4 linked regions of the Saccharomyces cerevisiae S288C genome follow. The gene in region 1 interacts genetically with each later gene. Each region holds a gene or a part of one and is shown in the gene's direction. Other genes may lie near its edges.

The links.
Region 2: mutations in GPX1 (region 1) and YPL113C together harm fitness more than expected from each alone (negative genetic interaction), as found in Saccharomyces cerevisiae (one large-scale study listed by BioGRID).
Region 3: mutations in GPX1 (region 1) and ATP22 together harm fitness more than expected from each alone (negative genetic interaction), as found in Saccharomyces cerevisiae (one large-scale study listed by BioGRID).
Region 4: mutations in GPX1 (region 1) and ASI2 together harm fitness more than expected from each alone (negative genetic interaction), as found in Saccharomyces cerevisiae (one large-scale study listed by BioGRID).

Annotation. Positions count from the first base shown.
Region 1 is NC_001143.9:388,880-394,069, reverse strand, and holds GPX1 (glutathione peroxidase GPX1), read left to right. Parts: upstream 1-4,186; coding exon 4,187-4,690; downstream 4,691-5,190. Other genes in the region: SKA1 (Ska1p), read right to left, coding at 1-349; MIN9 (Min9p), read left to right, coding at 697-924; URA6 (bifunctional uridylate/adenylate kinase), read left to right, coding at 930-1,544; PAN-complex poly(A)-binding subunit PAN3, read left to right, coding at 1,791-3,830; TCD2 (tRNA threonylcarbamoyladenosine dehydratase), read right to left, coding at 5,165-5,190. UniProt on the Saccharomyces cerevisiae protein: Glutathione peroxidase-like protein that protects cells from phospholipid hydroperoxides and nonphospholipid peroxides during oxidative stress. Has peroxidase activity using thioredoxin or glutathione as a reducing power. Involved in peroxisome formation.
Region 2 is NC_001148.4:332,303-341,007, reverse strand, and holds YPL113C (glyoxylate reductase), read left to right. Parts: upstream 1-3,864; coding exon 3,865-5,055; downstream 5,056-8,705. Other genes in the region: CAR1 (arginase), read right to left, coding at 63-1,064; PEX25 (Pex25p), read left to right, coding at 2,388-3,572; GTPase-activating protein BEM3, read left to right, coding at 5,522-8,705. UniProt on the Saccharomyces cerevisiae protein: Putative 2-hydroxyacid dehydrogenase.
Region 3 is NC_001136.10:1,173,420-1,183,169, reverse strand, and holds ATP22 (Atp22p), read left to right. Parts: upstream 1-4,995; coding exon 4,996-7,050; downstream 7,051-9,750. Other genes in the region: YPQ2 (Ypq2p), read right to left, coding at 416-1,369; SBE2 (Sbe2p), read right to left, coding at 1,910-4,504; YPS7 (putative aspartic endopeptidase), read left to right, coding at 8,994-9,750. UniProt on the Saccharomyces cerevisiae protein: Translation factor specific for subunit 6 of the mitochondrial ATPase. Required for assembly of the CF(0) component of the ATPase.
Region 4 is NC_001146.8:334,677-343,030, reverse strand, and holds ASI2 (Asi2p), read left to right. Parts: upstream 1-3,683; coding exon 3,684-4,553; downstream 4,554-8,354. Other genes in the region: CUZ1 (Cuz1p), read right to left, coding at 1-515; YNL155C-A (uncharacterized protein), read left to right, coding at 896-1,120; NSG2 (Nsg2p), read left to right, coding at 1,063-1,962; IGO1 (phosphatase regulator), read right to left, coding at 2,173-2,679; PGA1 (Pga1p), read right to left, coding at 2,823-3,419; YGP1 (Ygp1p), read right to left, coding at 5,422-6,486; serine/threonine protein kinase CBK1, read right to left, coding at 8,164-8,354.

The DNA of each region.
Region 1 (5,190 bases):
CCTCGAGCATTACAATATGTTTCTCCGTATTCACGTTTTCTTCCCTTGGTTTCGATCCGCCCTTTTTGGTTTTCCTCTTTGACTTACTCTTGAGATTACGGGGGTCGGCTCCTCCAATAATGCCTTCTAAGCCGTTTAACAGTTCTTCTATATCTTCTTGAGCAGCTTCTGTCTGCTTCTTCTTATTCAATGCGGCTATCGTACTTTGTGAAGAGCTTTCCTCATGGGCCGTACGTTCATCATTATCATTCTTTAACCAATTAGAGTAGGCCTGCTGATCCGTGACGCATCTTTTTTGGCTATCAATACTGTCATCTAGTAGAAAACCCAATAATTCTTCTTTATTCATGCTTGCACGTTATACCTGGCCGGGATTGGGGCGCTATTCTTGCATTGTATACAATATCCTCATATAATGAACTCTTAATTAATGCGTCATCATCCCAACTTAACACCCCTCATATACCCTAAGTTAGTACTCTCAGACCTATAGAAATAAATGTATCAATATCATGACACCTAACTGATTATATTTTCAACCCTAGGTTTATTTTTTTCACTTTTCTTTTTCTTTTCTTTTTCACCACGTTAACGAAACTTTTAAGTAGTTATGGTGATCTTTTAAAGCGATGCATTCCTGTCTTTGCCTTTAGTCGCACACACCCTCTCCCGTTTTTATGTTAGCTTAGTTATATTATGAATCCACGCTACAGGTTTATACTGAGATTTTATTCTTCGAAAAAACCAACTTTCCACAATACAGCACCTTCGAAGACCAACGTAAACGTACCACGCGCTAACAAAAGTCAAAGCAAGGGTAAACACAAAGGCAAATTGTTGGTACTCGTAGGAACTTTAGCACTCGTGACATCAGTTATTTCGGTAAACTATCAAAAGAACGAACCAGTTGAATTTCTTGAATAAGACAAATGACAGCTGCCACTACATCACAGCCAGCTTTCTCGCCTGACCAAGTTTCCGTGATCTTCGTTCTAGGAGGACCCGGTGCAGGCAAGGGTACTCAGTGTGAAAAACTAGTTAAGGACTATTCATTTGTCCATTTGTCAGCCGGAGACCTTCTACGTGCTGAGCAGGGCAGAGCAGGTTCCCAATATGGGGAATTGATCAAGAACTGCATCAAAGAGGGCCAGATTGTCCCTCAAGAGATTACTTTGGCGCTTTTACGCAACGCTATTTCCGATAACGTCAAGGCGAACAAGCATAAGTTCTTAATTGACGGATTTCCTAGGAAGATGGATCAAGCCATTTCCTTTGAAAGAGACATCGTTGAAAGCAAATTCATCCTGTTCTTTGACTGCCCTGAAGATATCATGTTAGAGAGACTATTGGAGCGTGGCAAGACCAGTGGTAGAAGCGATGACAACATTGAGTCCATTAAGAAGAGATTTAACACTTTCAAGGAGACTAGTATGCCCGTCATCGAGTACTTTGAAACCAAATCGAAAGTCGTCCGTGTTCGTTGCGACAGATCCGTCGAAGATGTGTACAAAGACGTCCAAGACGCTATCCGTGATAGCTTATAGACTAAGACGTATTTTATATAGTTTACGCTATAAGTTACGGCGATATTATATATATATGTAAGAATATATACATATATATTAAAATGATTATATGCCCTCCCCTACATATCAGACCTTTACAGGGTAACCTTAAAATAAACTGCTAAATTATTTGGTTTATGAATTAAAAGAGCAATAATAACAATGGCGGGAGCACTGTTTCGATGATAGGTAAGCCTAAAAGACTAGTCAGACGTATCTTACGCCATGGACAAAATCAATCCTGATTGGGCGAAGGATATTCCGTGCAGAAATATCACTATTTATGGCTACTGCAAAAAGGAGAAAGAAGGTTGCCCTTTCAAACACAGCGATAACACTACCGCTACTACCATAAATGACGTTCCTCCTCCAATAGATGTGGGTGAGGCTACAACTCCGACCATGACATCAGTTCCTAAGTTCAATGCTAAAGTATCCGCAAGTTTCACTCCGATGACAGTCGGTAGTGACTCCTTAACCACTGTGACGAATACCACCTCCGCTGCTACAAATGCTACTGGCAATATCGCCATGGCAGCTACCTCTGCTACTGCTTCTACAGTTAATCCGATGATTAATCCGATAGTTAATAGCTCGTTAGTGAATAACAATAACAATAATAGTAATATAAGCATATCAATACCAACTACCGCTTCGAGTTCCAATTACGACCCCTTCAATGCCCCCATTTTCACTCCGTCTTCAACCTCCTCAATTCACACTAATGCAAATGCACATTCTTTTCCATTTCCCTCCATTGCAAATTCTGGTGGCATAAATATAAACGCCACTGATGATAATAGTAACAATATGAGTATGGCTAATAATGTGCCACCTCCTATGCAACCGCCACCCATAGAGAGTAGTAATCTTAAGTACCCACGTATTTATCCGCCTCCTCACAGTCTTCTACAGTATCACCTATATGCACCTGAACAGCCATCATCATTGAAATCATTATTAAAGCCTAATGAAAGGTCTGCAGATCAGCTTTTCATTCCAAACAATATTAGAGAAGATTTAACCAAGAAAAACTTATCGATTTTGCAGGTTTTCCCCTCTTCAGGTAAAGTTATACCAAGTATTGTACAAGATTATTTTAATTTGGTTCCATTGAACTTCAATAATAACGATTTTTTAAATAAAACTACGCTCTTCAAAGTTTTTTCCAATTATGACGGTAAAGCCTACGTTTTGAAGAGGCTTCCTAACATCGATAAGTCAATGAATCCAAACAAAATATCCAAAATATATCAGATATGGTCAAAAATTAATTGTACAAATTTGATAAAGTTTAGGGACATTTTTCAAACTACTAAATTTGGTGATCTGTCTATTTGTTTGGTCTTTGACTACTACCCAAACTCGCTATCTTTGTATGATTACCACTTTGTTAATTTCCCTAAGTTTCCAATAACGAATAATTATTTATGGATATATTTAGTTCAACTCACCAATGTAATAAACTCTATCCATTCACAAAACTTGAGTATTGGCAATACATTAAACTGGAGAAAAGTTTTGATTACTGGGGACCCAGGGAGAATCAAGTTATCACACTGCAATTTTATGGACCTTTTGTTCAATGATGATACTGATACCGTAGTATCTTCCGGCGGAAGTACCATAGAGGGACAACAACAGCTAGACTACAAATATTTAGGAGAGCTATTATTTAACCTATCCATTAATATTGAAAACTCTAATAACAACACTGCCCCTAAAGAATATCGATTGGAGGAAATAACCCCTCAATCAATTGATGACATGAGACAGATCGATGATAAGTTCAAGGATGTACTCAAGTATCTGATATCAGACAACGGCGATTCCAAAAAGAGCATTCATGATCTTACTAGTCACTTTTATGATAAGATGTTCATGGTCCTGGAATCGTCACAAACCTATACAGAATACATGGAGTCTGTCTTATCAAGAGAACTAGAAAATGGCAGATTATTTAGGCTGGTCAACAAGCTAAATTGCATTTTTGGTAGAATCGAATCAAGAATAGACATAAATTGGTCCGAATCTGGGACTAAATTCCCCATTATACTATTTTATGACTACGTATTCCATCAAGTGGATTCGAATGGGAAACCAATAATGGATTTAACTCATGTCCTAAGATGTTTGAACAAATTAGACGCTGGTATTCAAGAAAAGTTAATGTTGGTAACGCCCGATGAGTTAAACTGTATTATTATATCCTATAAGGAGTTGAAGGACTTGATAGAATCCACCTTTCGATCCATCACCCAATAAAACAACACCAAATAATGTAGATACACACATATATATTAATTATACATTAGTATCCCCTTGACATACCCCACTACCGTCTTCATGTGGAAAATTTTCCGTATTTGCTTTCCCCTTCTGTTCCCTAATTCTATAGGGTAAGCGATTCATCCCTTGTTCGCCACATCTAAGAGAACTTAAAGCCGGGGCTCACCTCTACTACAGAGATTGCTTATGGTGAACAATATTAAGTGATTATATAACACAGTAATGTACAAATATATTTTAGTCATGTAGGTGATATTGTGCACGGCGAGGTTCTCTGATTGTGAACCCGTATAAGGAATATAAGCGGAGAAACACAATATTTATAAGTAACGATGCAAGAATTTTATTCTTTTTCACCAATAGATGAAAACGGAAATCCATTCCCCTTCAACTCCCTGCGTAACAAAGTGGTTTTGATAGTCAATGTAGCATCTCATTGTGCGTTCACACCTCAATACAAGGAATTAGAGTACTTGTACGAAAAATACAAATCACATGGTCTAGTGATTGTGGCCTTTCCCTGTGGTCAATTCGGAAATCAAGAGTTCGAGAAGGATAAAGAGATTAATAAGTTCTGTCAAGATAAATATGGTGTAACCTTCCCTATTCTACATAAGATCCGTTGCAACGGGCAAAAGCAAGATCCCGTCTACAAGTTCTTAAAGAATTCAGTAAGCGGGAAGTCTGGAATAAAAATGATAAAATGGAATTTTGAAAAGTTTGTGGTAGACCGAAATGGGAAGGTGGTTAAAAGGTTTTCATGCATGACTAGGCCACTAGAGCTTTGTCCAATAATCGAAGAATTACTGAATCAACCACCAGAAGAACAGATTTAATTTGCGGTCAACGAAGTTGAAAACGGAAAAGTGGTGATAAGAATGAAAATAAAAGACATATAATTGAATAGTCTCTGTCACCCTTGCTATCGTATCAACAGTTGCTCTTCTATCTTGTTTTGCGTATGTATTTTTTCTAAGAAGAATATGTAGGTTTTAGTCATTTTTTGTTGATTAAGGGAATGAAAATTGTCCTAAAGAACCCTTTCAGTGGTTCAGCTTTGAGAAGTTTCAATATTGATTTCCGTCGCATGCCTCATCGTTAATTTTTCTCTAGTTTTTATTTATTTCAGAAATTCAAGTTTTTTACTTTCAAGAAATTAAATAATGTAATTTTACAAATAAACATAAACAAGTAGAAGTAAATGAAGAAGCATAAAAATAGTTTTCTATATGGTATGAGTCCGAAAAGCCTCCTGGAATAGTACGTAACTCTATGGAAGAAAATGCTTTATATGTTGGAAAGGAACAAGATCATCTGAATTGAGAGTAATAAGCTT
Region 2 (8,705 bases), on another chromosome or scaffold:
GCATGTGCTTAACTAAAATAAAAAGAGAATGCTTATTTTGATAAAAGGGATGATGATATAAACTACAATAAGGTTTCACCCAATGCACACCTTGCAATGGCGCAACCTGCAGAGATGGTGTTTGAAACATGGATATCATGAATAGCCAGATCAGGGTTACATTCAACAACGTCTAGCGCAATTAAATTACCGGATTCGGCCAATCTTTCCACCAAGAAAAGACCTTCTCTCAAGGTCAACCCACCTCTCACTGGAGTACCTGTAGCAGGAATGTATAATGGGTCTACACCATCGACGTCATAGGAGCACATAATGGGACCTTCACCGTTTGTTTCTGGGTGCACGGCTTTCATTGCCATTTCAATGACAGCGTTGATGCCGTATTTGTCAACGTGGTACATGGAAAAGGCGGCGATACCCAGATCTTTCAAGATTTTCTTTTCTCCGGCATCAACATCTCTCAACCCAATATACGCGATCTTTTTTGGGCTCAAGTTGCCTGGAACCCATTTGAGCGACTCGGGACAATGTGGGACATCCTTGTTCAAACCCATTAGGAATGACACGGGACAGCCGTGCAAGTTTCCAGAGGGGGTGCTTTCTATGGTGTTTATATCAGCGTGGGCGTCTATCCATAAAAGACCAGCATCGGGGTATTTGTCCAAAACCGCGGATACAGTACCAATGGCTATTGAATGATCACCACCCAAGGTCAAGGGGAATCTGTTCGCCTGGACCACTTTCGACACGGAGTTGTACACCAACTTGGTGGCTTCACCAACCAAATCTGCTCTTTTAGCCTTGACACCGTCTATCATAACAGAGGAACCCCCAGTTGTGGAGTCCTTCTCCATTTTCAACTTTCCCACAAATTGGGCCTCGTCCATTGAGGGCTCTAATTCCGTAGACCAGCCCAAATCCTCTATGCTTGTTTGCAGACCATGCTTAAGCATGTATTTAGGGCCCTTCTCGACACCAAGCTTACCCTGACCGCCGCTGAATGGAGCCAGAACGATGGACAATTCGCGATTTTTGTAGTAGTTGTAATGAGGTCCTGTTTCCATCTTGATAGTAGTTATTGTTATTGATATAGTTGTTGTTGTTGTTTCTGCTAACTTTGAGAAAACATATACAGACCAAGAGAAGAGAAACAGTCTTAGATCTTGATAGAAAGTGGGCCGCAAGCTCTGCTTATATACTCTTTAGACCCCTCGGCGGCTACCGCTAAGTGAAAAATTCAGCGAGCGGCGATGCGCTGTTGATTGCCATTAGCAGCACGGTGCTTTGCGAAGGGCAAGAGCTAGAGACTATTCGCACTAGCCGATATTTTCGCGGCGTCTCGGCTTCTTGTAAGGGATAGAAAAAAACTGTTAATGGAAGGAGCAATCAAAGGGCGGGGATCGCGGGCGACGGTGCGGCATCGAAAAAGTGAAGAACCAGTAAAAATAGAGGTGGGGTTTATCAGTGTTGATATCTAAGTTTATGATAAACATTGATGAGTCAGGGATTGCACCCGTAGTTCATCCGTATGATGTGATGTTGTTTGTTTTTGTTTCATGTAAGGTTGCTAGAATAGGGTCCTGTCAGACAGTATGCGTAGCTTTACCATCATTTCGCCGCTATATGTGAAGGGCCGTAAATTGGATATACGGTATGTAAAAATCAGCGGAATATTATGATGAGAAGTGAGAAAATTGAAGTCAGTAATCTTGGATATTCAGAACTGTCAATCCTCAGTTTGGCCAATTTTATTTAATTTGTTAATAGCAGAACTTACCGGGCGGTCCAGTTTTGCCTACACGGTTTGGTATAAAGTTTAAAAAGCATATATACGAGCTAGATGAAGTATCCAATAGAGTTTTTCTCACGATGGTATTGGAATAGCTTCCTTGAAAGGTAACTACATACAGTGTCGAGGAAAAATAGACAATTACTTAAAGGAGTAAATGTTACTATACCTGAAAGAAATTAAGAGTCGCCATGCGTAGCAGTAATCACAACCGACATCGGGGAAGAGTGAGGGGAGCAAATTGGATGTAAATATTTTGGTGAATTTGCTCGGTACGCGCTAAACTCACATGATTTAGCAGCGCCGTGGCGCAGTGGAAGCGCGCAGGGCTCATAACCCTGATGTCCTCGGATCGAAACCGAGCGGCGCTAAATTTATTTTTTTCTTTTTACTCTTCATTTTTTTTCCAGGTCGGTGATAGTATATGAAATTCCGGTGGGATTGGGCTTATTATTTCAGGTTATATAATTTTTGAAATACGTTTTTCTTCTTTCTTCTCAGAATCATCGGTAATTTGTATGCTGGAGAAAGTAACAAATAGAGTCGATATCCTCAACTTCCCTGTAAGTCTTCACCTATAGAAACTGGTCGTAAAACAATGAGTCAGTTTGGCACGACAGATATCGTTTCCGGTTCAGAAACACCACCTTATTCTGGGGCAAGTTACCAGGACGCCCAGGATGACAATACCCATCCACATTCATCAGACGCCGGTGCAGAGAAGTTCAGTGCAGGCAGTGGAAGCGAGTCGCATACTGAATCCTCGAGAAGTGATGATGAGGATTCTCAAGCAAAAACAAAGATGGTGGATAATATTACCATCTTAAAATATATATTGGATTCTCTATCTGGTAGAGACAAATTAGCCAAAATTATCAAATACGCTCTGGATATATTAAAACTGTTTATCGAAAAGTCTAAGCGAAATTTAACTGTTTTGGACCCTTCCGTATTAACGTACTATACCAAGATTTTGAAAAATCTGACTGTAAAAGTCGCACTAAGGCATCCAATCACGGTAATTAAAGTACTTCTCCTGTCTCTTTTGAGAAATTTTGACAAGAAAATTGATTTTATCAGTCAACAATTAAGTACTTTTAGATATATTTTAAGGTTTGGCGGCACACCATTCCGAGTGTGCAGTTTCTTGGGGAAATTCAATAAAACCAGAAAGTGCAACTTTCAAATTGACCAAATTAAGAAAATATGGTTTAATGAAGCTTCATTGAGAGAATTTTTGGACTTGTATTATGGTATCTTTGATGAATTAGACTTGCTATACAAATTGAAAATATGGACAAATAAATCATTCTATTCCTTTGTCAGTAGACAAGAGTCTCTTGCATGGCAATACGACATTCTTTTAAGCTTGAAGGACCATTGGCTCAACCTGCAAAGCTTACAGAAGAGACAATTAGAATTGGAAGTGCAACTAAAAGTTCAAAATAACGCGTTACTACTCTCACCCATACTGATGCATCAGGCCCATAAAGACGATGGCTCACAATCGCCAATTAGGAAACAGTTGTTAAATGACCTAAATGTTAATAACGACGCAGAGGTGTTAATACACAAACAACTAAAGGCCATCAAGGATGAAAAGACACTTGTTTATTTAGATATTGCAAGATTATCGTTTGATTGCATGGCTAATACATCAGATATTCTAAATTTAAAAACTCCAAAGGGAACGTATGCCGTTCTGTCCCTGGGATCCGGCTTAACTGGACTGGTTAAACTTTGGATAACAACAAAGAGGTCACTTTGCTCTTCAAAAGATTGATATATAAAAATATGTATACATATAGATATGTACATATATATGTGGCGAATAATGTTTTACCTCTGCATTTGTATTGTTATTTGATTCGTTGAATAAGATAGTTTGGCGCTCGGTTTTTGCTCTTTTTCTTCCGTTTTTATGTCATTGGGGTGGCGGTAGTCATTCCGTTTTACGGTATGTTTATTCTGACACTTTGACGCAGATCTAAAAGGTGGAGTGTGGAGTACAAATAGCTCTCTCTCAAATACAGAAAAATACTTGAGTGTACAAAAGTAGCAACCTTTAAATAACAATGATTACTTCAATTGACATAGCAGATGTAACTTATTCTGCCAAACCAAGAATTTTGGTGCCTTATAAAACCCAATGGGAAGTCGCCAGTCATCTTCCTGAATATCGCAAACTGGCAGAAAGGGTAGAATTCTATAAATATGAGATGTCCACAAAGGATGATTTTGTTAAATTTTTGGAAACTCATAGAATAAACGGCTTTTGGCTCACTGAGGAGTTTTTCACTGTGTTAGGAAACCCTTCGAGTTATATTGAATTCTTCCCCGCATCTTTAAAAGTAATCCTTGTACCATGGGTCGGCTGTGACTTTATTGACGGTAAGTTATTAAGATCGAAAGGTATCACTTTATGCAACATTGGACCACATGCTGCTGACCATGTCACAGAATTGGCTATTTTCCTAGCAATTAGCTGCTTTAGAATGACTTCATTTTGGGAATATTGTTTTAAATACGTGGAAAATGGTAATGTTGAACAGTGTAAGAAATATATCTCTAGTGACTCGTATGAAATTGTTACAGATAGTTACCACGGTCAGGAAATGAAATTTCCCTCTCGAACAGACAAATGCAAGCCTAACAAGGATAGGAAAGTGGTACATTTAGCAGAAAAGTACACGGTTGGCGGGAAAAAAATGGAATCTCCAATGAATAAAAAAGTTCTAATATTGGGGTTTGGCTCCATCGGACAAAATATAGGGTCTAACTTGCACAAAGTGTTCAACATGAGCATTGAATACTACAAAAGGACCGGTCCCGTCCAAAAGAGTCTACTTGATTACAACGCTAAGTACCATTCTGATCTAGATGATCCAAATACTTGGAAGAATGCGGATTTGATCATTTTGGCCTTGCCCAGTACGGCCTCTACAAACAATATTATCAATCGTAAAAGTTTGGCCTGGTGTAAAGATGGTGTCAGGATAGTTAACGTTGGGAGAGGCACATGCATAGATGAAGATGTGCTACTAGACGCTCTTGAATCTGGAAAAGTGGCAAGCTGTGGTCTCGATGTGTTTAAAAATGAGGAAACACGCGTTAAGCAAGAGTTACTTCGCAGATGGGATGTTACAGCTTTGCCACATATCGGCAGCACAGTTGCCGACATGGTCATAAAGCAGACACTCATCACACTCGAGAATGTGCAGGACATATTTGTCGAGGGAGGTGATGGTAAGTATGTGCTCAACTGAACCATTCATTATGTTACAAAGATAGCATTTCAATTAGGATTACATACGTATATGCATTGCTCTTTATACCACAACTCTAAGAATGTCGAAAGTTATATGGCGGCGGTGATGTTGGAAAAAAAACGCGGCCGTTTTATAAAGAACAATAATCGTCTGACTAGGTAAAGTACCAGATAAGAACCGTTTTTATTGCGCGTATTGGTATGTTTTTTAAACGGAATTTTTCAAGATTGTTAAATACATCAACGATATATCCATTTTAATCACCGTTTACCTTTGTGTGTTAGCTTTGTATCTGGAAGTTTTTTCTCTTTTCTTCTTTGTCCTTGCCTTCTACCATTTTGCCTTTTGTTCGAGTTCGTGATTACATCAGGCATATACAACATCACGTTTGTTGAAACACTGGCTGCTAGGAGTATCTGTGTGTATATTCTAGAATAAACTCACACTCAACTAACAGCACGCAATGACAGATAATTTGACCACAACTCATGGTGGTAGTACCACCCTTGAATTGTTGGCGCAGTACAATGATCATAGATCCAAAAAGGACAAATCTATAGAACATATAGAAAAAGGAACATGTTCAGGAAAAGAAAGAAATCCGTCCTATGATGAAATTTTTACGGAAAACATTAAGCTAAAGCTACAAGTCCAAGAATATGAAACTGAAATTGAGAGTTTGGAAAAGGTTATTGATATGTTACAAAAAAACAGAGAAGCTTCCTTAGAAGTTGTGCTTGAGCAAGTTCAAAATGACTCAAGAGATTCATACGTTAACGATCAATCATTTGTGTTACCCCCAAGATCTGCTGAAAGGAAAGCGCATATCAAGAGTCTTAATTTGCCAATACCGACATTGTCCCCTCCATTGCAACAAGGTTCAGACGTTGCACTTGAAACAAGTGTAACGCCTACAGTACCTCAAATAGGTGTTACATCAAATACTTCAATAAGTAGGAAGCATTTACAGAACATGATACTAAACGATGAAATAGAAGCAAATAGTAGCTTCTCATCTCCCAAAATTATCAATAGATCTGTCTCAAGCCCTACAAAAATACATTCAGAACAGTTGGCTAGCCCAGCTGCCTCTGTTACCTATACGACGTCTAGGATAACCATAAAATCACCTAATAAAGGTTCGAAATCTCCATTGCAAGAACGTTTGCGTTCCCCTCAAAATCCTAACAGAATGACGGCTGTTATCAACAACCATTTGCATTCTCCATTAAAGGCCAGTACCTCTAATAATTTAGATGAGCTGACTGAAAGTAAAAGTCAACAACTAACTAATGACGCGATACAAAAAAATGACCGCGTTTATTCTTCTATAACATCCTCTGCATACACTACTGGAACTCCTACTTCAGCAGCCAAAAGTCCATCATCCCTTTTGGAAGTCAAGGAGGGTGAAAACAAGGCTTTGGGTTTCTCTCCAGCATCTAAAGAAAAACTTGACGACTTCACCCAATTACTTGACTCCTCATTTGGCGAAGAGGATCTAGTCAATACGGACAGTAAAGATCCTCTGTCCATAAAATCCACGATTAACGAATCTTTACCCCCACCTCCAGCGCCTCCAACTTTTTTCTCACCTACTTCTAGTGGAAATATAAAAAACTCTACTCCTTTATCAAGCCATTTGGCTTCTCCGGTTATCTTGAATAAAAAGGATGATAATTTTGGTGCTCAAAGTGCAAAAAATTTAAAGAAACCTGTGTTAACTTCATCACTCCCCAATCTTTCTACAAAATTGTCAACAACAAGTCAAAATGCTTCTCTTCCTCCAAATCCTCCCGTGGAAAGTTCATCAAAACAAAAACAACTTGGAGAAACGGCATCCATCCATTCAACCAATACCTTGAATACATTTAGCTCAACACCCCAAGGTTCGTTGAAGACACTTAGAAGACCTCATGCAAGTAGCGTGAGCACCGTGAAGTCTGTGGCCCAAAGTCTTAAGTCGGATATTCCATTATTCGTTCAACCGGAGGATTTTGGCACTATCCAGATTGAAGTACTGAGCACATTGTACAGGGATAATGAAGATGATTTATCCATTTTAATTGCAATCATAGACAGGAAATCCGGTAAGGAGATGTTTAAATTTTCAAAATCTATTCATAAAGTTCGCGAATTAGATGTATATATGAAATCACATGTTCCCGATTTACCATTGCCCACGTTACCTGATAGACAATTATTTCAGACTTTATCACCTACAAAAGTGGATACGCGAAAGAACATATTGAATCAGTATTATACAAGCATATTCAGTGTCCCTGAATTTCCCAAAAATGTTGGTTTAAAAATCGCCCAATTTATTAGTACAGATACAGTAATGACACCTCCAATGATGGATGATAATGTGAAAGACGGATCACTTTTGCTGAGAAGACCAAAGACTCTAACAGGTAATAGTACATGGAGAGTTCGGTACGGTATTTTGCGCGATGATGTTTTACAATTGTTTGACAAAAATCAGTTGACTGAAACTATTAAATTGAGACAATCTTCTATAGAACTTATACCCAATCTCCCTGAAGATAGATTTGGAACGAGAAATGGGTTTTTGATCACTGAGCATAAGAAAAGCGGACTGTCAACCTCAACAAAGTATTATATTTGTACTGAAACGTCGAAGGAACGTGAATTATGGCTTTCTGCGTTTAGTGATTACATTGATCCTTCACAAAGTTTATCGTTATCTAGCTCGAGGAATGCAAACGATACTGATTCTGCATCTCACTTGAGCGCAGGAACACACCATTCTAAATTTGGAAACGCAACTATCTCAGCAACCGATACTCCATCATATGTCACTGATTTGACCCAAGAATATAATAATAATAACAATATTAGTAATAGTAGCAATAACATTGCTAATAGCGATGGTATTGACTCAAACCCATCTTCTCACTCTAACTTCCTAGCAAGTTCAAGCGGGAATGCAGAGGAGGAGAAGGATAGTAGGAGAGCCAAAATGAGAAGTTTATTCCCTTTTAAAAAATTAACCGGCCCGGCGAGTGCAATGAACCATATAGGTATTACAATTTCAAATGATTCGGATTCTCCAACATCTCCTGACTCTATCATTAAGTCACCAAGCAAAAAATTAATGGAAGTATCCTCTTCGTCAAATTCTTCTACGGGTCCACATGTGTCCACTGCAATATTTGGCTCGTCACTAGAAACGTGTTTAAGATTGAGTTCGCATAAGTACCAAAACGTTTACGATTTACCGAGTGTAGTTTATCGTTGCTTAGAGTATCTTTACAAAAACCGTGGTATCCAGGAAGAAGGCATATTTAGACTAAGCGGGTCCAGTACAGTTATCAAAACTTTACAAGAAAGGTTTGATAAAGAGTACGATGTAGATTTATGTCGGTACAATGAAAGTATTGAAGCTAAAGATGATGAGGCATCTCCAAGTCTTTACATTGGTGTGAATACTGTAAGTGGGTTACTAAAGTTGTACTTGAGAAAGTTGCCCCATTTATTATTTGGTGACGAACAATTTTTGTCGTTTAAAAGAGTAGTTGATGAAAATCATAATAATCCTGTTCAAATATCATTGGGGTTTAAGGAACTTATTGAATCTGGCCTAGTTCCTCACGCTAACCTATCGTTGATGTATGCTCTTTTTG
Region 3 (9,750 bases), on another chromosome or scaffold:
TACGCGTGGGCATTTTTTCCTTTTTCGAGATACTTGCGGGCGATTTTTTTTCTCCATGACTAAGGAGAAGCTAACCCAGCCAAAACCCGCCCCCAAATGGCTAGGCAAAGTGAAAGATTATTAATCCAGAACAGAATGAAACACTTACTGCCGTACTGTATACTGAAGCGTTCACAGTGAATACATAATAACTTTCATTATTAATATTAGTGTGACAAACTATATGTGTTTGTAGCTGTTGCGAATGCAAACAAGACATAGACGGTTTTACGTAAAACTGGCGCTAACTATAGTTGGGTACTTTTACACAGAGTACGAACGTAGTATTCCTATTGGGAAAAAAGGGTCTCGCAAGGACTATCCCAAGAGCAGAGTGCATTGTTTAAATATAAATGGTAGTACTCCGTAGGGAAAACTATGTTTGCGTTTCACCAGACAACAGTGATGTACGTTCTGTCACTAGTTGCGCTGCACTGTCTTCTTCAGGACTGTATAGTTCTCTTTCCAGTTCACGTAGTTGCATATCAGTTGCATAAAGGATATAGTATTGGTAGAAGTATATCAAATCAAACGCAATTGTTCCAGCACTTCCAAATATAAAGGGCAACTCATTCACGATGAATTCCCTCTTGTTCTGATTATCTAAAAATCTACAGCTTGTGAAGATGCTCAAATTATACGTGATATTGCAGAGTAGTGTAGTAGCAAATAGGAAGGGAGATAAGCCGTCTGTAGACTTTCTATTGTAATTCTTGATTAGTTGTGGGATACGTGCGCCTACGTAGAAGGAAGCGCCAATCCAAGATAAAATTGTACCCAGCTGGCTGTTTTTACCATCTCCGGGAGGCCCCACTTGTGATTGGGTGGAGCCTACATTTAGCGGATATGCGCTAGCTGTACTTATAGTATGAGCTATAGCCAAGGCTGCTGTAATGGCAGACCTTCTTCTACTGCTTCTAGGGCTTTCTGCACTGCTACCACCTTGTATCATGTCCTCTTCCTCCCTCAAAAGCTCACCATTTTCAACCAGTTCGGGAAGAAGAGGTTTAGGCTCATGGCCGACAGTCGCCAATTTATTTTCATGCAGCACGCCATAGTAATAATATTGACCACATACAAAAGAATCATTCAATAGAAAATAAATTGCTAAAAGTATCTGAAATAACAATTGCCCTGTTAGCTTTGCCCCTATCAGCGAGGTAATATCCCCACATAACCAAGCCAGCAAAAAATATGGCGATAGCCCATCGACAGATTTATCTCGATAAGTCTCAATTATTTGTGGAAACAATGAAATAACAGAGGTGAAGAAGGATAATGATCCGCACAAATTAGATACAGTAGGCCAGATGCCGTTTGAGCACGACATGAAAAGATTCTTATTTTCACTTTATAATTTTTAGCACCGATAACAACGAACCTTATCGATTGATATCAATAGATACTGGCTTAAGGTAATGAAAAGATTGCTTCTTTATTTGTCTTTGTTGGAGACGAATATTAATGCCTGCAAAAAGTACTTGACGTTTATGTGCACGTTTACGTTTGTTTTTTTTTGATCCCTCCTCAAGCGAAGAGATATACTAAAAGATATACTTAGTGATAACACTGGTACCTATTGTCACTACAAATCACTGAGCGAAATCTTTTTTCTTCGCGAACAATTTCTTCCATGCTGCGAAATTTTGCAGCACGTAAGTGAATGCCGTAGAAGCTAGCAAAAAAAAATGGTGATGAAAAGGTTAATAACAAAACACAATAAGGGCATTAGTTCATTGTTTATTAAAAATATATTATTATATTAATCGAAAGTAATTTCTGTATGTATGCATTTATAAGTTTCAGAGTGAAAATGAACTTAAGAAGAGATAGTCTGGTCACCAAACTTTTAGTACGTGCCACATACACGCTAACGTAATTTTCGGTAGTAGTGCAACCACCACTTTGTGAAAATATTATTGAGGTTTTCCTCTTCGATACTATCCTCCGTATACAGTGGAATACAAAAATGCTTATCATCCAAATCTGATAAATGTTTCAGATTATCATATCCGAAGTGGTAGTTTAACAATACGTTAACTGTTAGTGAAACCAAAATCTTATAATTTACAATAACCTTCTTAGATCTATAGTATTCCCATACTTTGTCTTTGAATATTTCCATTTTTACGGGGTAGTTTGCAAAGTTTTGGCCATTATGAACGATAATTACATCCATTACCCACATAAAAAGTTTATGGTCCATTCTTTGCAATATGTTCCACCATGTATTGCTATTCAAACATCCGCCATTGAATTCATTTTTGAACTCATCTTTTCGTAAAAGATGGGCAACAATTCCTCTGGGATTTAATATTCTTGAATCGTATTTTTCCTTGCAAATTTCACTGAAGCACGTCATCTGTATCAAGTTGACCATTTCCCATGTTTCCTTCAAAGTCCCAAAAGATTGATCAGTTAAAAAATGGTAGAATAGCATCTCATCACCAGTAACCAAACCTTGTTGAGATATAGATTTCAGTTGCAGTAATAGCATCAAGTCAGAAACCACTTGCTTATCTGTTCCATTTTTATAAAAAACCTTTTCCTGTACATCGTGTTCAATAAGCTGTCTTATTTCAAATTCTTTATCTTTGGGAAAATCCATTTTGTTGAGTAGCTGCATTACTTCCTCAAATGATTCAATAAAACATTTTGTTATCAAGCAATTGTCACTTTGTAGAAGTTGACTATATATTTGAAGCCGTACTTTAGATATCAAAGGTGTTTCCCAAATAATTTTCTTTAATTCACTTAATGACGAGTTACGAGTAATGCCTCGGTCCAGTAAATGCTGGAATTTGACCTTATTCTGCTCATTCTTTTTGGCTTTTTCGTCACGTTCTTTATTTTTTTGCAACTCTTCCATTGATGCTAAGTCGATATTTTTGTAGATTTGTTTATCTTGCAATTTCCTCTCTTTGAAATCCTTGGGCGGGAGCCAACTCGGACGGAAATGACTTACGGCCTTTAGTTTGTCCTCTGAAACTAGCATTAGGTCTTCCATTCCCTGACTACTGGCTTCTTTAAATTCCAGTGGTAAACTCTGTACAGATCTTGAACGACCAGAAAGAATACTTTTGGAGATTTTTTCGGAACTATGCAGGTATATTTGGGAGAGATTTTTCATTGTATCCTGGATGTACTGTGAATCAGACACAGGAGATATACCAGGAATGCATGTTGGCGGAAGCTCCTTATAGTCCAGACATGATTCTTTTAAAGTGTTACTTGAATTTGATGTATGTTTTCTAGTACTATGAACCTGATGGAAAGTTTTGTCCACACAGAGAGCCGAAGATGAGTGTTGTTTGCCTTCGCAATTGTTCTCCTGTATTAATATCTCTTCATCCCCCCGCGCTGAATCTAAACTCATTTCTTTTCTATTAAACTTAGATAATGTTAAAAAAGAACTGGTCGATAAAGATGCCATTGGAATGTTCCAAATTAACGAGCCGTCGACATCGCCCTCTTGAAGTTCCAAGTTAACGTCTTGATCTTCATAAAATTTTTCTTTCATTTTTATGGCTTTACGCAAAGATTGGTCATTTTGCTCTTTCCTTAAACGGTAACGTTGAGAAGGAGTAAGTTGGGTTGTTTTATATGGTAATATTACAGAAGTACTATTGGAATGCACATACGGCGTTTTTGTGATCGGCATGAGTTTTGGTTCTTGGATAGTTGCGGTACTCATGCAATGATGTTTAAGAGGAGAGTCATTCTCGCTTATGAATGAAGTTTGTGATGCGGCTATACTGTTGGTTGTATTGCTCGATCCAGGCAGCCCTACTGTCCTGGAGAGTTTAGGAGTTGACACCGAATTTTGACGAGATGGAATGCATGTAGTTATGGTACTCATTGAGCAGATTGTTTTATCAGCGCTACTTGCTGTACGTGTTTTCTGTAGTATTGATCCCGGTCGGCTTTTCTTTAAGGGCGTAATATTGCTTCTATGGTCAGCTTCTCTCATACTTTTGAAGAAGCAGTTATCCTCCATCTTACTGTTTGCTATTTCACCCTCTTCTGAGCTTATATCTGATGTACATAAAGAATCAGATGTCGTATTTGAGTGCGATGAAGAAAATATCTCTGTGCTCGATGTACCTATAGAATCATCTGATATTGGCCTAATGCACTTCGCTGTGGGTACGTGTGGATTATTATTACCTAATACATTTTTAACAACATCTTGGCTAGCGAAATTGAAATCTAGGTTGGAGCTAGGGCGTCTTGTTCCAATATTCTTTCCGTTCGAACCTGTAGTGCTACTGGATGCACTACTGCCTGATCGGGATTTAGACAACGGAAGGCTGCAACTTTTGCGTTCGGTATATTCTGAAAGCATCAACTCCTTTGTGGAAAACTTCTTAGGTTGATTTTGTTTCAGATGCGTTGAGTCCTCCTCCTTTAAAGGGTCTAGCTTAGACGTATTAGGAACTATATTAATCAAACGACGTGCTGTCATACAATAAAATTGAATGTCACAGAAAGCTAAAGAGCTGAAGTAAAATAATGAAGCAAAGGTGGAAGCCCGAAAATAAAGTTAAAATTCAAAGCTTGTAACGAACGTATGAATGAAAGCACTAATTGAGAAAAAACTGAATTTTGTCAAAACAGCTCTATGTTTCAGAATGATAAAAAGGAGAGTTAAAAATACAATGGACAGTGGAATACAGCCAAATGCTCGATAGCTTTCGCAGAAACAGTACAATTAAAGATCAACACTTGTATTCTAATTATAGCAGGATCGATGTTACATCTCTTTTGCTCTCTAATCGGAGCTGAAAAAAAAAAAAAAAAGCGTATATAGTGATCTACGCTGATTAACATTATAGATTGCATAAAAGGGAAAAAGGAATTACATGAAGATCTATTCTGCGCGACACACTTTATTGGCGTACTGGCAAGAATGGGCTTTCAAATCTTCCAAGCGTTCACTTTAATGTTCTTATTGGCATGTTAAAATGTATATGCCGTGTCTATTCCCAGCCTTTGGCTCAAATGGTCACTTCACCGCTGTTTAAACATATGGGTAGCGCAGGGACATACACAATTCTACCTATTACAAATCTGCGCCATTTATCTACGAAAAACTGTCCATTGAAAATTAAATCAAATCGTTCAGAACCTTTGCAGTTTGGCGATTTTGAACGACAGGTGCCATGTTCTAGGAAGAGCGGATCTTCGAAAAATGTTCAGAAGCGTTTATACGAGCTCCGACAATTGAAAACTGTATTAAGTGAGACTTTTGGAGTAACTGAATACGCCTCTTTTTTTGAATCTCTACGAAATGCCCTGCATATAAATAATTGCTCAGAAAATGAAAAGAAGAAACTTTTATATGATATCATTTTGCATCAACACGAGTTATACCCAGAGGTGGCAAGAAAAATTGGATTTTATCTACCAGGTGAGGTCCACAGATGGTTCTGGTATCATATTCCAAAATCAGAATCTTTTAATCACTATCTTTTTCTTTTGAAAAGTGATGTTCTTCTCTTTACTTCTAACTACTGTACGAGATTTACCAATAGGCTGATAAAAGGAACTGAGATGGAGAGGCAGTTAGCCACGTTCCAAATATTTTTGCATGATGAGACAAACATAAAATTTATAATGGAAAAAGTTCTGAAGTTGCATACATTTGACAGCTTAATCGCTCTAGTAAATGGCCTTGTTAAGGCGAAAAATTTTAGGTTCATTAAAGTATTTATTCAAGCTCTACTACAGAAGTTGGAACAGCACTGTTATTCTGGTAAAGATGGAGCAAAGCAAAAGAACCTGCGTTATGTCAAGTTCAACAATACCTTACTTTATTACCTTTTGAAAAGTGGAAATGTTGAGTTATTCATCAAAACCTTTCAAGAGGAACTGAAATTCATTGTAAGCTCAGGATTGCTTAATCACATTGATGGAAACGAACACATATTGAATTTTCCCATTCACCACTACTTGAATCTGCTCCGAATATCTAATAGGCAGGAGGAGCTTTTCAATGTAATTTCCTGCTTACAAAGCAGCCCACTGATGAAATATAAATTGTTCAAGGAGTTTTTAATGGGTGAATTAATTGCATCTTTTCAAGCCTTTCGTGACCCGAAATTGGTGTGTAAATATCTCCTCTCATCATACAGCTCAAAGGCGTCTGCTAATATTCTGAATGCCCTAGGGATTTGGGGGTGGCTCTATCATTCAAAATCAACGACTTTGACAGCTCCTACGTTAGCAAGAGAGCTGAAGAACAAAAATAATATTCTACCGAACACAATGCGAATAGGATCACCAGTGACTGTTCCAATTTTAACTGAACTGTATAGAAGCCTTTTATCTTCGAGTTCTGTTTCACTGGAAAGTGGTCAATTCAAGAATTGTCTTCTTGATTTATATTACAAGTACAAGAGTTTTCTTTCCGAGGAAGCTCATAAATACAGGTATTGGAGAAATGATACCGGAATCCTCAATGTTTTCCTAAATTATATTAGATTCCAAGCTCGTGAACCAAGGCTGGCCTACAATGTTCTTCTGGATTTTTATTCTCAACCTTTCGCCAAAAAAGTGGTTTTAACTACCACGCTATGTCCCTTTTCCATAGTAGCCTATAAAAATCATACATTAACGCAGGCTGAACTATCAGAATTGCTACAGGTGATGCATAAAAATGGGGTGCCTTTAACGTTTAAATTTTGTTCTGCAATGGTAATGCATTATGTCAAAATGAGAGACGAAAAAGGAGCACGCTCCTGGTACAATAAGATACTCTTCGGGGGCTTTGAAATCAGGCATATGGCTTTGATACAGATAATAAAAGACCAAGGCTGGCCGTTTCCCAAAAACTTTGACGAAACTTTACTGACGGAATTGGTGGAAAATAATAACATTAAAGAACCTACTGATAGCACCCTGTTTACTGACGAAGATATGTTCGAAGAAGATGGCAAGCCTAGATTTAATGATGATGATGTTAATAAATGTACAAATATTATAAGAGAGACGTTGAAAAGTCTAAATTAATATCCAGATGAGCACTAGTAAATAGTAAATATTCATTCATAGATAGTAATTTACCCATAAGTTATTAATACCTACAAAGTTTTTTCATAAGTTTATGAATATGTCTTCTTGGCCCATGGTTACTTTATTACCTCTAATACCTTATTTACTTTCTCAAATAAATGAGCCCTTGGATTTCATTTACTGAGAATAAAAAAAAGTACCGTGCTCGGCAAAAATGCTCCAGGGGAGGTTCGAACTCTCGACCTTCAGATTATGAGACTGACGCTCTTCCTACTGAGCTACTGAAGCTTTGTTTTGTACAGACGTTACATCTCAGAATGGGATACGTCAGCATGACAATACATTATCCTGAACGTTCATAGAACACATATGAAACCTAAGAAAACGAACAGATTGAGCAACATGAGGTAAAACTCCGCCTTCTATAGCTGGGCTATCTAAACGTATAAATGCCTGAACAATTGGTTTATGAGAAATGGGTGTATTTTGAGAGACTTGTTGGGATTCCATTGTTGATAAAGGCTATAATATTAGGTGTACAGAATATACTAGAAGTTCTCCTCGATGATATTGGAATCCTCTAAATGGAATCTATATTTCTACATACTAATATTACGATTATTCCTCATTCCGTTTTATATGTTTCATTATCCTATTACATTATCAATCCTTGCACTTCAGCTTCCTCTAACTTCGATGACAGCTTCTCATAACTTATGTCATCATCTTAACACCGTATATGATAATATATTGATAGTACAACTATTAGTTGATAGACGATAGTGGATTCTTATTCCAACAGTTTAGATCCAAGGTTCCGCGCTTCCACCATTTAGTATGATCCATATTTTATATAATATATAGGATAAGTAACATTCCGTGAATTAATCTGATAAACCGTTTTGACAACTGGTTACTTCCCTAAGACTGTTTATATTAGGATTGTCGAGACACTCCGGTATTACTTGAGCCCGTAGTACAGCGCAGGCCTCCAGAGTTGAATTATTCTAAATTCCTGAATAATAACAATTTTGCAGACAAAATTCAGGCAATAACTCAAAAGAGTAATCTTTCACTGCATTTAAGGCGCTAAGATTCCCGCCAAAAGTAGTCGTCACAAAAGAACGTATATAAAATGCACTTTCGAGCGGTGACAATGTGAGAAATAGGTAAATATTGAGACAATTGTTGGGATTACCCTGTTTCTCATCTTTTATGTCATCTTTTTACACCGTATATGATAATATGCTAGTCGATAGATGGTGGTCGATTCTTCTTCCTGTATACAAATATATGAGTTGGGGATGTATATTGCAAAGAGCTTGATTATGACACATTGCCAGACCAAAAAACAAATCTCTTTCTATAATGTTCCCAGGTGGGCTAATTTTTTAAATAACGACGGCAGTATATTGATATTGGAGAGAGTTGTATTTATTGTTCGATATTTATTTTGATATCAGCTTTATATTGTAAGTGTTCAATATTTTAATTAGTGTGTATTTTGTAACTTTACTGCCAATTATCAACATAATTACAAAATTGTTATAAAAATTGATGCACTAGTGTTTCGGTTCTTGCTCTTTTAACCAACCGAGCCTAAAAAAGAGGCTCTTGAAAGTAATTTAACCCAAACAATGAGATCTTCATTCTTTTTTTTTTTACCTCAGCTATGACTTGCAGTGCTTTGTATCATACCGCTCGTTTGGTCGTGCTATTTGCAACAATGAACCTCGTTACCCCGAACAAAAAAAAATGAGATATTGAACGCCGCAGCTCATCATGGTAGAATGATGCAGCTAATACCAAAATAAGTTATATTTAGAATGTTGGACATATCAGTTGCATTAGACTAATCGTTCTAGAAGGATACAGAACTTGGAAAGATCTTTGAACGTATCGTAACTGCGTGCTTGCTTTATTTGCCGTTGATTTTTGCTATGACATGCCTAATTTTATGGTATCTGTGGCTCATATCAACTTTTCAGTTAGAGTTTGCAACGGCTAGTACTGCAAATACAACAACTACAGCAAAGTCTGGAACCTCTTCGTCAACGGAGGAGCCGTTTCCTGTACTAGCCGTGGGTAAAGATGGTAGAGGAAACTACTATGTTAATAGCACATTTGGCACTCCCGGTCAACGCCAACGTTTGCTAGTGGATATTATCCAACCGTACATAAATCTGGTTTCCGGAACAAGCGAAAGTCATAACGAATACTCCGGTGTATATCATAAGCATCCCAGCTACCTCATGAATGACTCTACATCATCTGTTCCTGTTTCTCCTGGCCAAATATATGAGATTTCTTTCATTGATGGTAGAGCTGTTAACTGTACTTTGGTGACAGACGATATGAATTTTACAAATGTTTCCTCAGAAAATTCCTCGACCGCTTTGATAACCGATTTAATGGTAACTCGAGATAACGTACAATTTAACTCGGGGAGCCTATCCATTTCAAACGTTTCCTTCTTTGATATTCAGTCCTCGAACTTTAAGACTTCAGGCTTGTTAGGTTTAAGCGGGAAGGTCACAAACCCAGGCAATGCTATCGATAGCTCACAATACACAGAACAGTCTTATTTTCTATCCTTATTGAAAGATGCAGATATCATTGAAAGTTCGTCATATTCACTGTGGTTGGCTGGAGACACTTCCACGTACAAAACATATAGAGATCCAATATCTAATTGTG
Region 4 (8,354 bases), on another chromosome or scaffold:
ATCCTATTTTGCATAGGAATCTTGGGGTCACCTTTAGCAATTTTCTTGAGATTAGCCAATTGAATTATCTTATTCGACGAGGAACCGAAATTCTTTTTTGATTTGTTATTGCTCTTTCTTTTCTCATTCCTTTGGAAGAACTTAAATATTTTGTCTAATGTCTTTGAGTTCAAAGTAGAGCTCACTTTGGCAGTGTTAGAACCTCTCAAAGGCTCTCTTGTTTCACTTACTCTCTGGATTCTAACACTGGCCCTCTCAGGTAACAGACTCTTGAAATATGCTTCATCGTTAGAACTTGAGCCATCCCGGCTTTTGCTAGGACTTTTTTCAGTTTTATGAACTTCTTCATGCTCTAGCAACCACCTACAGTGGTGATCTTCCTTAAGTCTATGGTTCGAGCAGAAATCTTCATTGCAAAACGAACAATGGAAAGGTAGGAAGTCTAGTTGTCTACAATATGCACAGTGCTTTCCTACATCCAACATTCCGGTTTCTTTTTCGATAGCCGCCGACATTCTTAAATATAGCAAAAATTAGTTGATGGTCCTTTTTTTTATATCAAAATTAATGCAAGCTCTTGCAGTAGATGTACACTACAATGTGCCTATAGCTCACTGTTGTCACACTTCCGCCCTAGCTCGAGTCCTTGCTTGTACAAGCTCTTATTACATCTTTATACTCATTTGTAGAACATGCTTTTGCCACCGAAAGGAGGGTGAGGCAGTTTTATGTATATACGAACGTCGCTGGCCACGAGGGGGGAACTTTTCTTTTTATCGGCATGAGATAAAGGGTAGATACGAAATTAGCTAGACATTTAAAATATGAAAGCAAGGAAATTACTAAACTTCGAGATGTTCTTTTCCTTAAACTTCTAGTTGACAGCTCAACATTGATGATAGGGCTTATTGTAGTACCTATTTTATTTGCAATAAAGGGCATAGTAGTTGGCGTGCAAAAGGTAAAGAAAAAGTTTGGAAAGCACTCAAACACAAAGGACCAAAAAGAAGACAAGGACGAAGATAAACGACAAAGTATTTCTCAAAGAAAACAGCATACAGAATGGCCAATAGAGGAGAACCGGATCCAAAGAAGAGCACCGAATCAATCTGCTCTCTGACTAAACCGCAGCTTTATTCATTATATGATGATGACGTCGTGAGATCGGAAGATAACGAAATTTACGAAGAATTGAAACGCTCTGTCTCTATAGATTCTACCAAATATAGTAGAGATCAAACTATTGATTCGACTTTTTACTTGGCCCATAAGGTTGGCGGCTCGCTGCCAAGGAACACAGTATCTTCTAATAATTTGGAAAGGATTTTATCAGCATCATCCATTCACGAAAACTTTCCGTCAAGAACCAGACAAACTCGTCAAAATATTCTTCATTACCTGCAAGCTGTATTAATTTTGTCATTGAGCGGTTTCGCATATCATGAACTGTCCAGAAACTTGCACGATAATCATCTCTTACATCCAGATTTTGCATCGAGACCCCTTCTACTGGGTGTCAAACTTTGTAACTGGCTATCCAATGGGGTTCTGCCAAACTGGTTAGGCTACGGTGTTGAAGGACTGTTATTTGGTTCTGTTGTACCAATTCTGGATAATATTTTTCAAACAGAGGTTGTTAAGAGCTCTGTCCACCATGACAGTTTGACCTCTGTTATTAGAAGTATCAATGCCATGTTGGGAGTCACATTTGGGATCAGGAAAATACAGTGGAACTCCTCTTTGCAGGCGGCAGGGGCATGGGGGCTTCTGAATATTATACTGTGGTTGTTTTTTGACGGCTCAATATCCATGTTAATGAGCTGCATCTGCATTGGGGTGGGTTGTTGTATCTCTTGCTACAAAGATATTATCGACGGTTCCCAATTTTTATATTTCATGGATTTTTATTTCCTTGGTTCTCTAATGTTTGGAAAACTAGGAAGATATCTATATTCTCATTAAAGTCGAAATTCTGACGAGTAAATATTATTAATTAGAAGTACAAGAAGATAACATCAGAATGGCTTATCGTTTATATATAACTAATTAACGTAAACACAGTCAGCCATATGGCTGTAACACTTGACATTTCGAGAAATCACATAATAAGCGTTAAATATAAGAGACCCTTCTCTTTCCCTAAAAAAATATAAAAAAGTACAGGTTGTCTATTTATCTAATGGGTGATTCAGTATACAAACTGGACGACGAAGAGCTGTGGTTCCCCACTGGCGTTGAACTTGTACTACCACCTCCAATAGTACCGTTATTAGACGATGGTGGTCCACTCGATATACTTCCCTCCTTTTGTATCAACGTCGCATTATCTACTACACCAGCGGTTGAGGCAGTTGACGGACAAGTGCTTATCCTTCTTTTTATTATATCTTCTCGTAGTTTGCTGGGATTTGTTAATGGCAGGTTATTCTTTCCATAGTTTATTGGATCATTGTTTTGAATGCCAGCTTTCTGCAAAGCGTAATCACCACTGTCGAAATATTTTCTTTTCTGCATGGTATGCTTAAAAATATCTTTCTTTGATGGCAGCTTTCCGTACATTTTGTATAGCTTCATTTCGTTGGGCGAGAATTTGCTGGTATCAATAGTTCCGCTTTCGCCGTTATTCAGTTTAGTTAAATCTGGGTTACTACTATTGGGAGATAAGTTTTCATTCGACATAGCGGCGAGTTAGATATTCAGGTCCCTTTCTTTCGATAAAAATACCCACTTTAATGAGAAGCATTTGATGGTTAATGGACTTTTTTACGTTCTAGTTGTGATGAGGCCAAGCTATCCAGCCAAAGGGGGCTCAGGCTTCCATACTAAAATTTCAGCAAAAGATCGTTCAATACGTGTGGTGCCCGGGTAACAACAAGCCCTGCTACTAATAGCACCATAACGATTAATGTTGGGTAAATATCCACGGGGATACCTAGCCGAGTGGTGATTAATGAGACTTGTATTGGAACCATGGCATGCTCACTAGGATACGAGTCAGACAAGACCTGGAAAGTCACTAGTATTCTCGCGTAGTCTGACTTAGTTCCCTGAAATTCAGTGAAACGTGGTATTGTGATAGTTTGGAGATTATTAATGGAAATTGGATGTATTGCTGACCAACACACTTTAATCTGATATGTTTCGTCTCGCTGTAAGTCCGCCAGTTCAATATACGTAGTATTATGCAACTCCAAGTCAGTGGTATTGGCCTCGATAGTGATCTGACTCATTGCTTCTCCCGATAGTGATATGGAAGATATCAAGTTTACATCTCTTGCATAAGTAGAGCTGTCTCTTGGTTTTTTGAGGGGAAAGTTGTGAGGAACCTTATATAAGATTGATTCTGTATTAGCGTGTACAAATCCGATGAAAAATACAATTGTAGCGATAAACCAGTGAACATTCTGAGGCCGGACCATCTTCTTTTTAAAAATTGAACGAACCTATGTTGGCTTAGTGTGTGCGAATACCAAGGGTCAACAACATTGCTGTGCAGTTAATCTTCATATTCATGTAAACTTCTCATTTTTTCATTGCATATTAGTTTCCGTCATTGATGATCTTTTATAACAATAGTGAGAGGAAACAACTCCCTCTACCTTCAAATAGGGTCGATTCGGGAATATGATTAAAGAGACACCGAATCAAACGCATACATCCTCACAAGCATTTAGTGAGAAAAAATGGCGAGGCCTCAAAATCATCGCCGCAGTAATTGGACAGAAAGAGACGATAATGATGATTATCTGTTTCAGCGATTTCTAGAAGAATCGGAAACGAGGCATAGTAGAGAGCCTTCACCTGTAACCGAGCAATCTCAGCAAGAACTACAGCAGGATGTACAGCAAGCAATCGATGGAATATTTAACTCCCTTAGGAGGAATATGAGTTCTACTTCAAATATAAATAGAGCAGCTAATATGGATGCAACCACAAACGGAAATGGAGGAATCAATGCAGACACTATAAGAGCCACCAACGCCAATACGGCCGATTCCCCATTCACAGCAAGGCAGCAGAGCCCTCTCAGAACTTTTCTTAGAAATTTATTCATTTTAGATTACTTTATTGGGCTAATTTTATTCCCATTTTCCGTATACAACATATTAAGGAGCGGGTTCAATTCAATGACCTTTTCAGAGAATGATTTTATAATCGAAATCGTGGGATACTGGAAATTTGCCAAGATATTTGGTTCTGGTGGCACGACATTAATAGCATATAAGGATACTGGTAAATTAGGGTTGCTTGGAAAGTTTCATAACATCATTGTATTTTACTCTTCACCTGTGATAAAACATATTATGAAAAGTAGAGATGGCAATGAACCCAACTTAAATTGGATAAGACTAATGTTCGCTAAAGCTTTCGAGCTATTTGTCAAAGTCTCTACCATTCTGATCTATTTAGCTTATGGCGTAAGTGGTACCGTTTACATGGTTACCGCTGGGTTTTTCTTCGTATTGTGTCTATTATTCACTGTTATTAGAAGATATAAAGGTGTCCATCGAATGTTGGTGAGCCAAAGGATTACAGGGCCAGGCGTATTCTGATGATGAATCCACGATTATAATTTGTGTATTTGCTTATCTGTAGTAGTTTCTTTCGCATGTGGTCGCTGTATGAGACACTTGACACCAGAGGACGTTTATTTTGAAGCAACTCCTCTATGTAAGAGCTGTTTGCAAGCTTTCCGTACTGTGACACTTGACCATCATAACGTATATTAACGAACTACTAGGGTTGTTGTGGGCTTCTTTCAAAATGGGAATTGTTAAAAACTATTGATAAACGCCACTCACTACATGCATTGATTGTAAGATTTAACTATCCTTTTTACCTGATGTCTCGAAAATAAGCGTTTACAACAACTACTATTTTGCCGTTCTAGTTTAAAACATGGACGCTATAAAACACTAAATATATCAGAAGATTTCACTTAGACACAAAAGAAGGGGGTGAGATCCCTTATCTGTAGTAAAATGTATACAAATTATACGGACATTGTTTCTTTATTGTATCCATGTATACATGTGGGGTCTTGACACTTACAGGTAGTGAATGCTAGACCTTCGAGACTTAAGGTGAGCAATGTTTTAAAACTTTTCTTTTTTTCCCACTTCAGTGGAGTGTCACCCCGGGAAGATATTCACCTATGGTCAATGTAGCAAAAGATAATAAAAAAATATGTATGGCCAAGAATTTATATGATTCTTTCATCAATTAATTAATTAATTATTTGGGGTATGTCTTAAATAACAATAAAAAGGTGTATAAAACAATCATACTGCTTTAATGGGAAGTATGGTTCCTATTACGAACGAAAATAAAAGCTGTTGCGTGGAAATTTTGTAAAATAATGGTTATGATGACTGGTAAAAAAAGAATCTCTATGCTTCGCTAGATTTAATATCTATCAGTTCATGGGAAAATGCTTTCCAGAGCGGACTTGGAGGTGACACCATTAACGGCAGCAATGGACAACAAGATTTGGGCCTTAATTGGGGATAGGTAACCAGCACCCACAGCGTTCTTTGGAACATCTTTGTTGTCAATAAAGTTTAATGGAGTGTTAGCTTGAGCATATACGACTGGGATTTCAGTGCTTTCAATAGTAGATGAGGTTGAGTTGGTAGAACCAGAAGAAACAACAACCAAACCTTGAACGGCAGAACTCAAGGAGTCAATCAAACTGGAAGAGTAACCACCGTCATAGACAATTGGAACAATTGGAACACCGTTTTCTAATAGACCATAAGGAGTAGTGAAGTTACTGTATTCCTTTCTGATAATCGAGTCAGAAGAGATTAAAGTTGGCTTAGAAGCATCGAAGAACCATTTAACTTCGTCTTGGTCATCAACGATAGCAACAGGCAAACCAGCACCGTAAGAACAAGCAGTAGGTGGAGTGAAGACACCGGAGTACACTAATTTGTCAGAAGTGACGGACAAGACACCACGTTTGGTAGCGTTCTTATTGTTAGCGACTGGAATGGCATAAGCGGAATCTTCAGTGACAACAATAGGCTTTTCGGTGTCAAAAATGATAGAGAAGAAGAATGAGACAGCTTCCAAAGATTTGGCGTTGGCAACAACAACGGCACCGGCGGATGACTTATCTTGGATCGTTTCGTTAACAACACGGGCAACATTGTACAATTCGGTAATGTTCAAAGCAGAAGAACTGTTGAATAATCTGGTGTAGTTTGTGTGGGTCAAAGAACTGTTGGTGATTGGTACTTGACCACCTGTTACAATGATTTGTAATTGACTGCTTTCGGCAGTAGTAGTATTGGTAGTACTGTTTGTTCCATTAGCGTAGGTAACATTGCTAGAGTTAGACCCATTCCAGGCCGGCAAAGTGGAGTTGATATTCTTACTGTGAGATGCCTTAACAGCCCTGTATTTGAATAGGTTTTCGATTGGGCTTGCGACGACGGCAGATGAACATGCCAAAAGGGCAGATAAAACAACTTGGAACTTCATTTTCTATTACTGTATTACTTAACTGACGATTAATCCTGTAGATGTTTTTTGAGCTGATTTTTTACAAGCAAGAAAGAAATAGAAGGGATATTCAATAAGAGCAATAACCCAAGAGAACACAGCAGAAGTTCTAGCAAATGTCACCCTCTATCAAGCTTTTTATATTTCAGAGATGATGGTTTTTTTAGTGAGGTACTTTTTTCTCCCTTTTTCCTAATTATTACTAATAGGGTAAAAGAGATATAATAGGCGCTTTCTTTCTTCAAAGTATCGATGTTGAACTGTAGCATCGAGAAGCCGGCTTCACTCCCTACTGAGATTCTTCGGAGTTTGAAGATGCAATAGAGTACGAATATATCCCTTTTCAGCTCCTGAGCCTCTCCATTAGGAAAAGTATAAACTTTCGTCAACTTCTGCGCTAATTTTCGGCCCCTTCTTCGAGAAGTTTCGATTCGTAAAGGGTAAACTATTTAGACAGTGTACCCTTTTTGGGCTCATGTGTCTCTTGGACACATAACATGTCCACATAACATGCCCCGATTGGGTAAAAGTGAGAGACTTTTTCGCCCGCCGGATCTTCCGCGGATGACGAGAAAACTTCGCAAAAAAAAAAGTCACAAAAAAGTCACATAATAAACCAACGAATGGCCGATGTTTTACGGGTAAGCAAAAGTTTCGACGGTGAGAAAAAAACTCATGTGTCTTCAATCCCACATCAAGGCCCCTTCCTCTGGAAAGAGATCCCAATTAGGGATACCCGATCCGAGAATTTGAACATTGTGAGAACATTGAATCAATGATACCGAATGTTTAGCCCTCGCCGCCACATTACCCAATAGGGAATTGAAATGGAAATCGACTACTGAATTTTCCTATTGCTCATTTTTCTCTTTCCTTCAAACCATCGTCGGTAAAAGAAGGGAGTGAAGGGAAAAGCCAAAGATGATTAGGGATTCCGTCAGACATTCCTAAATTTGCCCTTTTTAAAAAATAGCACGCTTTAAGATATGCGTGTGGAACTAGTTCATCATGGTTTGACCTATCCCGAACGCTTTTGTTTCTAGCAATATTTGGTTATGACGATCTTTCAAGCGACGATTAATGAACTTGAAAGTGTAGGTTTTACAGTGATCGGTTGTCGAACCTCCGCTATCGTCTTCCCTGAGTTTCATTCAGTATTGTAAGACTGGATCATCTTATAATTTATAGTTCGAAAGGCCGAGAGGAAGCGCGTGATGAAAGCACGATCTTTTCTCTTTTACGACGTGTTAATAACAAAAATTATATATTCTTACACGTGTGTATGTTATTTCATATTTTTTTCAATATGGTCGATATATATAGATACTTCCTCTACAAAATCGTCCCCTGATCTGCCATCTCTTTTACCTTTTTCAACTACATCAGCCATTTTTCTTGTTTTTCAAGGTAAAAAAACCAGCCATCACCGAGATTGTGCTATTGTGCGTGGATGTATGGATTAAGGGCAGCCTGTAGGTTACTAGGTACATTGTCTTCGGAAAGGTGGTCGTTCAAATACTTCAAGGAGACATATGATAAAGCTGATGTCTATTTTGGTAATTTTTTTCCCGAAAAAAGTGCAGTTATTTATTCATAATGTGCGTTCTACATCCATAGATAAATACTTGAATAAAGAGGAATGTCCTTAACGCGTCCCTACAACGCATTTTTTCTTGTCAAATAGTCAAATCTGGAGTAAGTGTAGCCAATAAAAGGTAAATCTTCCTTGACTGGCGCACTTCCACCTTGCTTTGTCATCTGTTCCCTTTGTTTGGCAGCTTGTGCCATAGCTGGGGAATCTGGAACATTCTCCAACTCATCGGTTGGGAAGAACCTAGTATCGGTGA